Drosophila melanogaster: one gene and its partner. The protein of the gene in region 1 purifies or fractionates together with the protein of each later gene. This does not show direct contact. Each region holds a gene or a part of one and is shown on either strand. Other genes may lie near its edges.

Region 1 (4,353 bases):
GTACTCCAGTTTGGCCATCACCTCCTTGTACTCGTTGGCGTAGGCAAGTGCGGCGCTGTTTGTCTGCTGCCTGTTGCGCAGCATCATCGCTGCATTCGCAGTGGAGCTACTGCCAGCAGAAGCGGCTCCACTCACCCTCGTTATCTCCACTTGTGGCACATGCGTCTTGATTGCTAGCTCCTGGTTGGTGTCCATTGCTGGCTCCTCGTCCGCCTTGGGGCGCGATGGCACGGCCGTGACGGTTATGTCGCTGTACCTGGAGCGGAAGGATTCAATGTCCAGGTAGTCCATTTTGGCGATTGAATCTCTAACGACGATCGATGGTTGATAATGAAAGGGATTTATTTGACAGGCCTACTTAGTAGCTAATATTTCAGTGCTGCAAATTTCTTAGGGCTGGAAAACCATTTCTTCTATTTTGATTTTCCTCCCTGGCCAAATCTACTCGTACTCCCATTTCCTTAACATGAGCCCCAAGCAAGTGGCATACCCAACCCTCACTTGGTTTTTGCCTTTGCCCCCAAAGCTAAAAACCTTTCTTTTTGCTCTTTCTTTTGGGCTATCGCATGACCAAGTGGGTAATTACGGGAAGCAGAACAAAAAAACACGTTTGTAAACAGTTCATTCTGCTGGCGTTGTCCATTCGCCCGTTCTTCCCGCGGGTTCCACTGCTTCAGCGACCGGAAGCCGCTCAAGCGTGCTTCCCGTTCTGCGCAGGCGCATTCTCCTTGGTCACCCCAATTTTTTGCCATGACTCATGGGGTATGGCGTATTCAAATAAGAGAGGTGGAGATCTGATCGTAATGGTTGTTTTACTTGTTTTACATGCAAATTTTGACCAGAACATTGTCCAGAATTTCGGTTTTAACAATCTTCAGCTGTTGTGCTAATAACAATTTAGTGTTCTAGACTCTGCTTAATGGCTAGTTAATTGCTGCTCTGGTGCTGCGAGCGAATGATCGCCTCCAGGCTGCGTTCCGTGTGCTCTCCGCACTCGAAGCGATGGTAGTCGACGATCTCGCAGTTGTGCTCCTGCAAAGCCTCGCCCACCGTCTTGTCCGCATCGAGCAGATACTCCTGGTGAATCAGGCACGTCTCATCGTCCTTGTTCTCCGCCGGCTTGTCCTTGTCATATTCGCCGATCTTTGTCGGCTTCATGCCCACGATTTGCTGGCAAATGCTCTTGTGAAACTCAAAGTCCAGCAGGGGGTGCGTGGATCGGTAGGCTACGATCGCTCCGTACTTGCCCACCTGGGTGATGCCTTCCGTGGTGCCCACATTGGTGGGTGCGGGATGGGCGTAGCCCACCAGCTTCAGGTCGTTGTTAGCCTTAAAGCACAATGCGCGCCGGATGGTGGCATTCTCCCCGATGGCGCCGATCAGCAGAGCCAGGTGGTCGCCCAACGTGCGTCCCTCCTCCGTGCGCAAGTTTCTGAGGGCGTCCGCATCAAAGCCAAGCTGAAAGGATATGCACATTCTTTAATTAGCAATTTCTTTAGGAATGGATGCAAAACCGGTTCTGATCCAAATATTGTGTACATTTCCCATAAAAATCTCGCTCACCTTCCACAGATCTCCATCGAAGTCCGTCAAGTCCGTGTATTGCAGACACATGCAGGCGACGTGGTCAACGAACCGCTTGAAGGTATCGTTCCTGGCTACGAAATCCGTCTCGCAATTCAGCTCGACCATGGCGCCCCGGTTTCCGCGGATGAGCACTCCAATCAGACCATGTGCAGTGGCTCGATCTGCGACCTTGGTGGCCTTCGACCAGCCGAGGGTCTGGGCCTGCTCGTGCAGCCACTTTTCAGCCTGCAAGAGCGAGATGATGGCAAGGTGAGTTGATTAGCACAGATGTGTTTTGATCACAAAGGAGTTTGCATGCGGTGCAGCTATATATATTACATAATAATATAGAAAAATCAGCAATTTTTCAAAATGTAGAGATCCCCATTTCGTGCTCTTTGTAATGGAAAGCTCACTGCACCGCTTGCAATAAAACTATTAGCCAACTACCCACCAATCCGACGTCGTTGTTGTGCTTCTCCAGCGCCTTCTTGCAATTGGCGAAGGTGTATCCGGTTTTCTTCCTCAGCGCCGCCAGGGCACTCTTCTCCAGGCCACCGGATCCGCCAGAGCCGGCATAAAGCTGCCGCGTGGAGTGAAGTGCGCGTGTGAAAAACCTTTGTAGCAGCATTTTTCCAAAAAATTTCCGAAATTTACTGGGAGGCCAAAATGATTTCTAGCGTGATTTGTGTGCGAATTGAATTGTTGCTCTTTGCCTGCTGTCAAGGGCAACTCGCCGGCTTGTTTGTTTTTCCGTTTTCCGACCTGTCGCTATGTAGTAGTTGCCCGGAAAATCAATTCATTCTAAACAACGGAAAAGCCTGTGTGAGATTTGCATTTGTTTTCAACTCCTTCGTATGTTCGCTTCGGTTCAAGAAAAATTAATCGCGTTGCGGCGCGAATAAATCCAAAGCGAGTGTGGTGCCTCGATAGGTGAACGACTGGTAAGCGTCGATAGTTTAGTTTTCGGCTTTTCTGTGTGCTTAATTCGAGCAATTAATTTTGAAACTGAAAATTTTGACAATTTTCCGTGTTGCACAATTCGGCTGTTAGGGATGGCAAAAAAGCCGGTAGGGCGCGTGTGCGGAGAACAGCTGTTGCGAAGCGACTATCGATAGTGGCGACGCTATCGTTGGCCAAATGACGTTTAGTGGATGTTACAACCTATTACCGGTTACAACCGATTCGAAATGGATTGAAACCAAATATTTAAAACTTAAACCTAATAAATAGTTTTTTTTTTAATTCTGGCGCACGTAGTTATTTTCTTAATTAATATTTTAGTGTTTTTTTTTACTTTAAATAGTACTTTGATTAATAACTCGGCGGGATACAATCGTTTTATGTTTCAAAAACAATTATTGAAAACAATTTTCATTTTCTGTAGTCACATTTTGATTCGAACGTTGAACCGATTTCAGGCTTCAACATGCAGGGCAGACAGAATCCGAATCGGGAGTTCAGCATCCCCAGCTTCACGTCCATATGCGGCGGTCGCCGCCTATGCGAGAAGTCGAAGATGCTGTACACGCGACCCAAGCCGGATGTGCTGCAGAGCATCCTGCAGTCAAAGGCCAATCCGGAGTACAAGTCGCGTCGCCTGTGGTACGAACTGAACATGCCGGAATGCGCCAGCTCCCTGCTGGACGGCAAGATGAAATCCGACCTGCCGGACAACATACTCTGCGCGAAGAAACAGCAGAAGAAACGCCAGAAGAAGCGTGAGAGCGGCGTGGCCAAGGCCAACTACATGACCATGCGACTGGAGCGGGAGCACTTCCGCCGCAAGCTGGTGGAGCTCATCCTGCACATGGACGACGACCAGGATCCCGAGCTGGCCGCCCAGTGCGCCGTACCCTTTCCCGACCAGGAGGAGCGCGAGATTCTGCGATATTACTATTACATCAAGCATGGCATTGACACCATTCACGTGTCGCCGTTGAGCAAGAAGATCCTCAAGAGGTGCGTTCCACTGAACACTTTCAAATGTATCTGCTTTTTTGCTAACTGCTTTCCGTCTGCAGGATAACCGATCTTGTGCCACCACTGCTCTACAAGTGGCAGACGGCACTCAATGAAAACATAGCCGAAGTCCGGGCGGACTACGTGTTCGCCATGAAGAAGGCCGTTGTGGACTTCGTCCTGCGGCACACGGTCCTCGATCGCCTAACCAAGGAGGGCGTGGGTGGCAAATACGACACCGCCGAGCGGCGGGAGGTGCAATCCATGACGAACTTTTGGCGCTATCGGTGAGTCTCCATGATGCTAATGTCAAATTCGATAAAAGTCTTCGATTTCTATTCGATAAATGGCAAATGAAACTTTTGATCCGTTAAAAGTGTATAATCCAGGCAGAATATAGAAACATTTTTCACGTTTTTCGTTAGCTTTTTCTATGCAAAAAAAAAAAAGAAAAAAATACAGCAATGCAGATGAAATTGCAACTTCTCTTAAGCCAAATGGATTTTGAGAGGCAAAATCAGAGTAGCGTAATTGATATTGAAATGCATGCGTTGTTTGGTTCGACAAAGTTGAAAAACCAATGCAAGCGAAGGGCGGGAATTTAAAGTTAGAAACTTCCGAGCGTGTGGGAAATTCAAATTTTTTAATTAAAATAAATTACACCCGCACCAAGTGCCACGTAAATTGTGCGCATTGTAAAAAGGGAGGCAGGCGGCAGGCAGGCAGGCAAAAAAAAAAAAAAATGGGTAAAAGAAAAAGTTGCTATAATTGAATGCGAGTGTGTTGTGTGTAACTTGCCTGTAACCGCCAGCAACGCATTTGGCG
Region 2 (7,649 bases), on another chromosome or scaffold:
ATTTGGAAAAATGTCACTGATGGTTTGGGGCTGTATCACCAGCCGTGGAGTGGGAAAACTAGCCTTAATTGAGAGCACAATAACTGCCGTGCAATATCTAGAAATGTTAAAAAACAAATTTGAAGGCCAGTGCAGAAAAATTCGGTCTAGTTAGCAACAACAAGCCAAATCTTAAGTTTTACCAGGACATGATCAGAAACATAAAGAGTGCAATGTACGCACCTGGCGCCTTAATAACTGTGGTAAAGTGATCGATACGCCCCCTCAGAGTCCTGATCTGAACCCCATTGAAAATTTGTGGACCTACTTAAAGAAGAAGGTGGCAAAAAGGGACCTAAAACACAACAACAGCTTATGACTGTAATAGTCGAAGAGTGTGAAAAGATCCCGTTTGAATATGACCTGCAAAAACTTGTCCAATCCATGAAAAAAAGGCTTCAACTTGTAGCTAAAGCCAATGGGGAACATACTACATACCAAAACTTTTAAAATTTTAATAAAATAATTAAAAAATTTAGGATTAAACTTCGATTTAGTGTTTTGTGTAAAGAGTTTCTTGACAGTCTCAAAAGTGTGTAAACTTGGAATTTGTTGTTTATTTTCTTGTATATTTAATATTTTTAATTTGTTTTTTGATTTATAAGTAAAATAAATATTGTTTAATTATATTTTATAAAAAAATTGCGTTTAATTAAGCAAAAAACCCTTTATTTTTAGCTTTAAAGTCAAAAATTCAACTTATTTCACAGTGTGTAAACAGTTTCTTGACAAACTGTATATCAATATATAAATTGCTCGCGCTTAAAAATTAGGTTTACGGCTGGAGTTAAAACAACACGTACACGCGTCTCTCTGCACGTTTAATTGCTACGACCAATAAATATAGATATTTCTCTCTTACGGCCTAGATGATATAATATGCATTGCATCCTCTAAAAACTACAACAAATTGAGCAAAAGTCTGTGTTAATTTCACAAAAAGCGAACATTAAAAGTACATTGCTTAGCATGCGAATTACTCATTTACTGTGTTAGCTTTGATTGAGAATTGTTTTTGTGGGCGTTAATGGTGGTGTTTCTTGTTGTCGATCCACATGGTGTTGTGTTTGCTGCCGCATTTATTGCAGATGAGAAAAGGGTGAGAAAAATGCACCTGGCCTTCTTCCGGGCCGCGGTCTAGCTCTCCCAGACTTCGTCCCGCTGTTTGGCAGCTAGCAGTTTGCGTTCTGAATAAAAAGATAAGGCAGATTAATAAAAGACCAAGGGAAGGCAGCGCCAATGATTCCAAATCAAGTATATCCTTGACCCAGTTTAGTTACATGGCCCGCACTCACCTTTGGCTTCACGTAGTACCCGCCTCTCGTTCTCCCGTTCCTGCGGCGCCGTGGGCAGCTTGACTCCCAGTGCACCCGATACCAGTCGTCGGGCCAAGGCCGTGCAGGTTTCCGGACGCTGGCGATAGGGCTGCATTGACACCGCGCCGGCCTTCTTTGCCTTCAGTCGTGACTCCAGAGTGGCTTCCGCAAGTGGCTTCAACTTGACAAACGGATGCCCCATCGTCAGCACCTCAGCAGCTGCGGAGGAAACGTTCTATTTCATTACCGAACCAATCTCCGGTTGCATTTGTAGGCACTCACCAATGCGGGAACTGCTGAACACAGCCAGGGCATGGGTATCGTCTACCCACTTGATGTCGAAACCACTGCCCCTGTACTGGGCGAAAAGCATGAGCAGGTCGGGAGTTTTGAACTCCACTGGGAAATTGGACACCTCCAGAACGTGCGGAAATTCCTCTTCGTTGAGCAGTTGTTGTTTAATGTGAAAGACCTGTACGAATTGTGGAACAGAGTGTTTAATTTGATGATGATGCTGGTTAACCAGTTATATCTACTTACCGTATAGTCCATTTTGGGCAGCTCTATTTTGCACTTGCCCACGGATTCAGTCAGTTCTTGGAGTAACTTGGGATCCAGACAGTCGCCGCTCTCGTCGAACATCTTCTCCCAGTCGTCCTCGTCCTCCTCGTCATCGTCTTCGGTGGTGCTGTCTACAGGTGGTTTCGCTGTGGCTGATGCTTGCGGGGATGTGGGGATGGCCTTTGTTGCCGATGTCTCTATTTTCTCGGGAATCTCCAGCACATCTGAGTTGAAGGTTTGTTTCATGATGCGCCGATTGCTGCGATTGATTTCCTGCAATCGTTTGGAAGTTAGTTAAAACATTTCGCTGATTCCATGCGGCATAACTTACCTTTGAGGCTCGCTGCAGCTCGCGCACATCGTTATCACATTTGGCCGGCTCCTCGCCATTGGTGCTCCTGGCCGCCACCACATCCTCGATGCGCAGCGGAGGCGATGCCTGGCTTTTGCCATTGCTGGCTGATTTGTTGCCATTGCCTGGCTTTGTACGCTGGGCGCCGCTCATGATCTGTATGTTAGAAAGGCAAGGTCAGCTATTAAAATGTGTATTAAAAAATTCTAACTGCTGATGGAGAATGGCGCTACGCTGAACAATTATTGTTAATAAGAACTAATTCATAGGCTTTAGATTCGCTTATATACGTTCTTGTCTTGTTTTAGTACACACACCTCCTTATCACAGTCCGCTGGCTTTGCCGGTCGGTGTTCTTCGTTGGATTGAGTATCGTTCTCAGATGCTGATATAACCAGTACAGTGGCGTTATCGGCCGTTGTAGCTGTTGTCGTTTTCTTTGCGCGTTCTCTGCGCTCCCGATGCGATTTGCTTTTCTTCGACTTGGACGGCGGCTGACCGTTGACGTCGTCCGCTTTGCTCGGCTGTGTATCTGCAACTGGCGGGGAATCCGGCGCTGTTGTAATTGTTGCTGCGACCACCGCTGCTGCTGCTGGTGGTGATGTTGTTGCAACCGCTGTCGCTGCCGCCGCCGTTGTTGTTGTTGTAGTAGTCGGTGGTGTAGTTTGACTGCGTCGTGCCCTTGGCACATAAACCGCTCGATCGGGACGGCGTTCACGTCGTGTCGCCGCCGCCGCTGCTGCTGCTGAGGCGTCCGCCTCTCTACGAAAGAGCGGAGCAAAACAGAGATAATAATAATAAACGGTGAAGGAAACGAGGTAACGAGATTAGCTCACGACAGAATATCAACAGTTTCGTTAGAGGTATATACGCAGTTTATGATCTATTCCTAACTTTGATGGGTTGCAAATCGATTTACCTACCTGTTTGGGGATTCTTTGGAGGTAGGACTTGTAGATGCAGTGGTTGCTGTTCCTGCAGCTAATGGTGTTGTTATAGCTTCGTTTACTGCAGCTGCTTCCTCGCTGCTGCTGTTGTTGTTATTGCTATTGTTCCTCAACGCTGGCGGCCTGTATAAATCCACCGAATTCGATTTGCTTACTGCAAGATACAGATAGAGAAGGCGCCATCCATGAGATACATTGAGAAAGAGACACAAGATGCCGAATGTGAGATACTTCACATGATACGAAGATAGATCGCCAAATGGGAGAGCTAAGCAGACGATTAGCAACAATAGTTGGCAAATGCTCAAAACAAAACGAATAAAATAGAGACTAAGGTGAAGCAACGGATTCGGCATAAAATAAATTAAAAGCAAAATTCACTCATGTCGACCCAATTTTTTACGATCCGCTCTATGCCCGATTTTCGTGAATGTCAACACGAACTTGACAGGTGGATCCCAGGCAGCAAGGGGGGGCTGCGGGGGCGGTCCAGAGCTGGTGAGCGTGCGCAGCGGTCGACCAGTTGAGCGTCTACCTGCGTGAAGCCAAGTGAAGTGAAGTGAGGTGAGCCGTGATGCAACATCACCAAAAAATCCGCTCGAGAAAGAGGGCGACCTTGAATGAACGGCAACGGCGCTGCCGACGTCGATCAGCTGGCGCATCTGGTTATTTTTAGTTAATCTACCTGTTTGCTATACACTTGGCCGGAATTTAGTTATTACTTCTGATTGGAAAGCTCATTAATGCTTCAATTTGCTGGGTATCTAACACAACTGTGCAATTTAATGGCAAAAATGTACATAGATAAATATGTGAATTAATTTTCAGTATTACTGGGTATTCTCATATTCGTCGCTATCCCTGTTACATTTTCGATTTCTTTGTTTGGCTTCTTTTTGCGTATTTGCGAACACTTAAATTTATGACTGCTTGCTAAACGGGGAGCCAAAAACGCATCGCTCCAAAATGTGATTAAAAAACAGGGGATAGCCTTTGTTTATATGTACGGCCAGCTTGCTTTGGGCCATTTACTCACATGGAGTCTCGCTGATATGCTTCTTAACGCCCATCTTACAGAGCTCCGTGGCGCTTCTTCTGCTGGCGCTGCTGCTTCTGCCGTTCGTGTGATAGTGCGAATTGTTGTTGCTCCGCCAGCTCCTCGCTGCCTCTCGCTCTCTATCCTTCTCCCTCTGCTGCTGCTGCTTGCGGCTGTTAATTGTGCATTAACGACAAATTGAAATGAACAATAATCTACTGTCAGATATCAGATGCTCACTTCTCAAAGCCGCTGGGATCCAGAAGCTGGTTTCGAAAGCAGAGGACGGTGCGCCGCTGCGGCCCTTGGCCCACTGAGAAGGTGAACAGATCGTACTGCTGGCGGTATTTCTCACATGTTTGGTGGATGAGATAACGGCGGTAGTTGCCCACAGGTGGAAAGAGCAGAACGCTGCGGAAGAAAGCGGTGGAGAAGGTGAACAAACCATCGATCAATTCAATTCGCTGACTGCGTGCGTGTATAGTGAGTCGTTTATGCGGGAACTCCATTAACGATAATTAGGCGAATTGAAAACACTCCTGATAAGCACAGGCAAAACAGGCGGAAATACATTTGGGAGCTTAGATACTAAATTCGTATGATAAAAATGAATCATATATTCATAAAAGCCGTGTTAAAAATGAAGAGGTAAATCCATTTTTTTTTTTTAGAATGTGCTTCTAATGCTAACTTGTTTACTACCTGATTGTTAACACACTATAATTAAATTTTTAGTTCCATTGATAGATCTTGATTACAGTCCCGCATAAACCCAGCTAGAGCGCCGCCCAATGGGACCGAATCTTCTAACAGGTTGTTGGGAATTCTCACTTGGAAGAGGAAGCACAAGAAACGACCTCAAGAAGAAGGCGAACAAGCGAAACAAAACGGAACGGCAAAGCACGACTTGTAAACTATATTATGTAATCGGATGGTGTAATATTTTGAAAAAGCTCAAATTTCTATGCGCGGCTTGCTGTTGTTTATTGCTTGACGATTAATTGTTTATTAAACGCGGGCTGAATGCAAGAAGAGCGCTTAGGCACGAAGCCCCAAATCAAAAAATCGGTGTTAGTTGGCGCAACTGCAATGCGGAAAAGTCACAATTGCTCTCGTTGTTGTGGTTGTTGTTGCTGTGGCGCAGCTGGGAAAACTCGAAATTGTGCAGAAAAAGACGGGGAGGGGTGGGGGAAAACTGGTGGTATCTGCACGAAAGGCCCACAAAACTCGTACTACTTCTCGTTGTTGTTGGTGTTGTTTTTGTTTCTCTGTTGCACATTTCCGTATTACCATTGTTGTAACGGTACTTTGTTACAAGTTATTCTCTCTCCTACTCTTTCCTTCTTACTCTCTGTATTTGTTGTTTTTGGAGAAATAAGGGGAGCTCTACTTCCTTCTCCTTCACTCACACATTCAGAGACCACAACAGACACACACACAAATGCCCACACTAACATACACCCACACATATGCACTTGCTATTCTCGTGGCAAAAAGTTCTAATTCGTTCATTTTGTAGGTGCGACTTTATTCTTACCCACGATTCAAGCGCTTCTTGACAAAGAGCTCGATATCACAACCGACATTATGTACGAATTCCTGATCGATTAGGCTTAAATTATTTGCGAATGCCTCCAGTTTATTTTAAAAAAGTCGCGACGACGAAAAAACCGACGTCGCACGCACACAAACAAAATTAGAACTTTCGATGTTACCAGATTGTGATCCGAGGACGCGAATAACTGCCTAAAAAATACCATGTTACGCGCGAAAGCTTAAACATTTGAATTTTATAAATAATCGATAACATCAGTCATTTCCTACATTTATTTTACAATGTAAGATACTTACGCGGTAGATATTTTTAAAAGCAAATAATACAAGTGGTAAAAGTAAATAAATCGTTTCTCAATCACTAACTCTTCCCTTCACATTTTTAGTATGTATCATCATTATTACAGTGCGGTTTTAGTTTTATATTAACGTTTTTGAGGGAACAATAAGTTGCTACAAACGCAAATTGGTGTTTTAGTTAGGCAAATTCTTTTTTTCTTAAAACAATGCTAATGCGTGAGAATAAGTTCTTATTTTGTCCATAAAGTGACTGCTGAAAGTAGGTTAAGTATTTAATTTCACTGCTTTGTGGCTCAGTTTTTCCTACCAAGCTCCGCAGCATTTTTTGCCGCTAATATTTGATTAAAAGCTTCAAATTAATTTTACATAAACACGAACTACCAGGCGGAAGAGCTGAGGGAAAACCTGTCGTTCACTCCATATCCGCTTTCCCGGCTGTCAAAGAGCTATCGCGCCCTTGACACCTCCCACACCACCCAGTCGCCCAAAAGCCACCCACTTGCAACACCCCACACTACCCTCCCCGCCTACCAGCTCCACTTTCTAATGGCTATCGGGAAGCACAAATACTCCGTCATTTCAGTGCAGTGGGTTATGAGCCGTAAATGTCGATTCTGTAAACCCACGCGGAAAACACTTCAAAAATAACTAGAAAGAGAACATTTCGTATTAATTACAAGTTGTTATTAAATGGTAGTACTTGGCTTAGGCTCTACTTGAAAAAGGTTGCCCATTTACCCATTAATCATTCAAGTGATTTGAATTTTTCAACTGGCCTTGTATGTGAAATATGATTTTGCCTTTAAATATAGCAACCTTTAAGATACATTTTTCCGAGTGCTCTGTTATCGCTCATACATGGCCATTCATTACAGGTCTGAGGGTTGGCCAAAAACTATGCCCATTGCCACGCCCCGCCCGGCAATTTGCAACGCCCTTTGCTGTCGTCTCCTGTCAAAATGGCATTCATAAAACCGGCTCCTCGGCCTCCCAGTCCCCAATTTTCGTCAAATTGTCCCCGTTTATTTCGCCTGATAATGCCTCAATAAAATCTGGAAGGCATCTTTTATGGATAGGTGTTTGGATACATGAATGACTGGGTATCTATCTGGTGTAGGTGTTTGCCATCGGCAATATTGGTACATATTCCTTTCCTGTACCTAAACAATAAGTTCCGTGTTATGCCAAACTATTTTGCAATTACGAAAGCTGTAAATTTTTACGATCTTAAAGCCATTCGCTTGTGAGGGCCCGAATTGAAGGACGTTTTGCATTCGATTTTTATCTCTTGGGCCCGCAATCTGTTTGGCTGGTTTAATAAAATAGTTTTCCACTCGTTTATGATTACAACATCATCTGCTTTTAATTACTTTTGAGGCCCGCTGTGTGCCCTCGAGTATTAGGGTTAGCAATGAAATTATTCTTTAAAAAATTATCTTTTTTATAGTCAAAGTAACGTCTAATTAACCCATATTAAACGCTTTTCTTTTATTTAAGCTTTTCTTATAGCGGCTTTTTGTATTCATCTATGCTTTTTCCCTCAT

Evidence for each region.
Region 2: the proteins of mEFTs (region 1) and CG2162 purify together in Drosophila melanogaster (affinity purification with mass spectrometry, with the first as the bait; one large-scale study listed by BioGRID). This does not show direct contact.

Annotation. Positions count from the first base shown.
Region 1 is NT_033779.5:17,498,472-17,502,824, forward strand, and holds mEFTs (mitochondrial translation elongation factor Ts), read right to left. Parts: upstream 2,636-4,353; 5' UTR 2,198-2,635; coding exon 2,021-2,197; intron 1,813-2,020; coding exon 1,564-1,812; intron 1,459-1,563; coding exon 928-1,458; 3' UTR 797-927; downstream 1-796. Other genes in the region: CG15142 (uncharacterized protein), read right to left, coding at 1-291; Dhc36C (dynein heavy chain at 36C), read left to right, coding at 2,996-3,528, 3,591-3,815. UniProt on the Drosophila melanogaster protein: Associates with the EF-Tu.GDP complex and induces the exchange of GDP to GTP. It remains bound to the aminoacyl-tRNA.EF-Tu.GTP complex up to the GTP hydrolysis stage on the ribosome.
Region 2 is NT_037436.4:3,033,504-3,041,152, reverse strand, and holds CG2162 (uncharacterized protein), read right to left. Parts: upstream 5,958-7,649; 5' UTR 5,860-5,957; coding exon of another isoform or gene 5,789-5,859; intron 4,663-5,788; coding exon of another isoform or gene 4,492-4,662; intron 4,425-4,491; coding exon of another isoform or gene 4,286-4,424; coding exon 4,252-4,285; intron 3,370-4,251; coding exon 3,192-3,369; intron 3,031-3,191; coding exon 2,586-3,030; intron 2,425-2,585; coding exon 2,248-2,424; intron 2,190-2,247; coding exon 1,896-2,189; intron 1,828-1,895; coding exon 1,638-1,827; intron 1,575-1,637; coding exon 1,335-1,574; intron 1,227-1,334; coding exon 1,177-1,226; 3' UTR 684-1,176; downstream 1-683.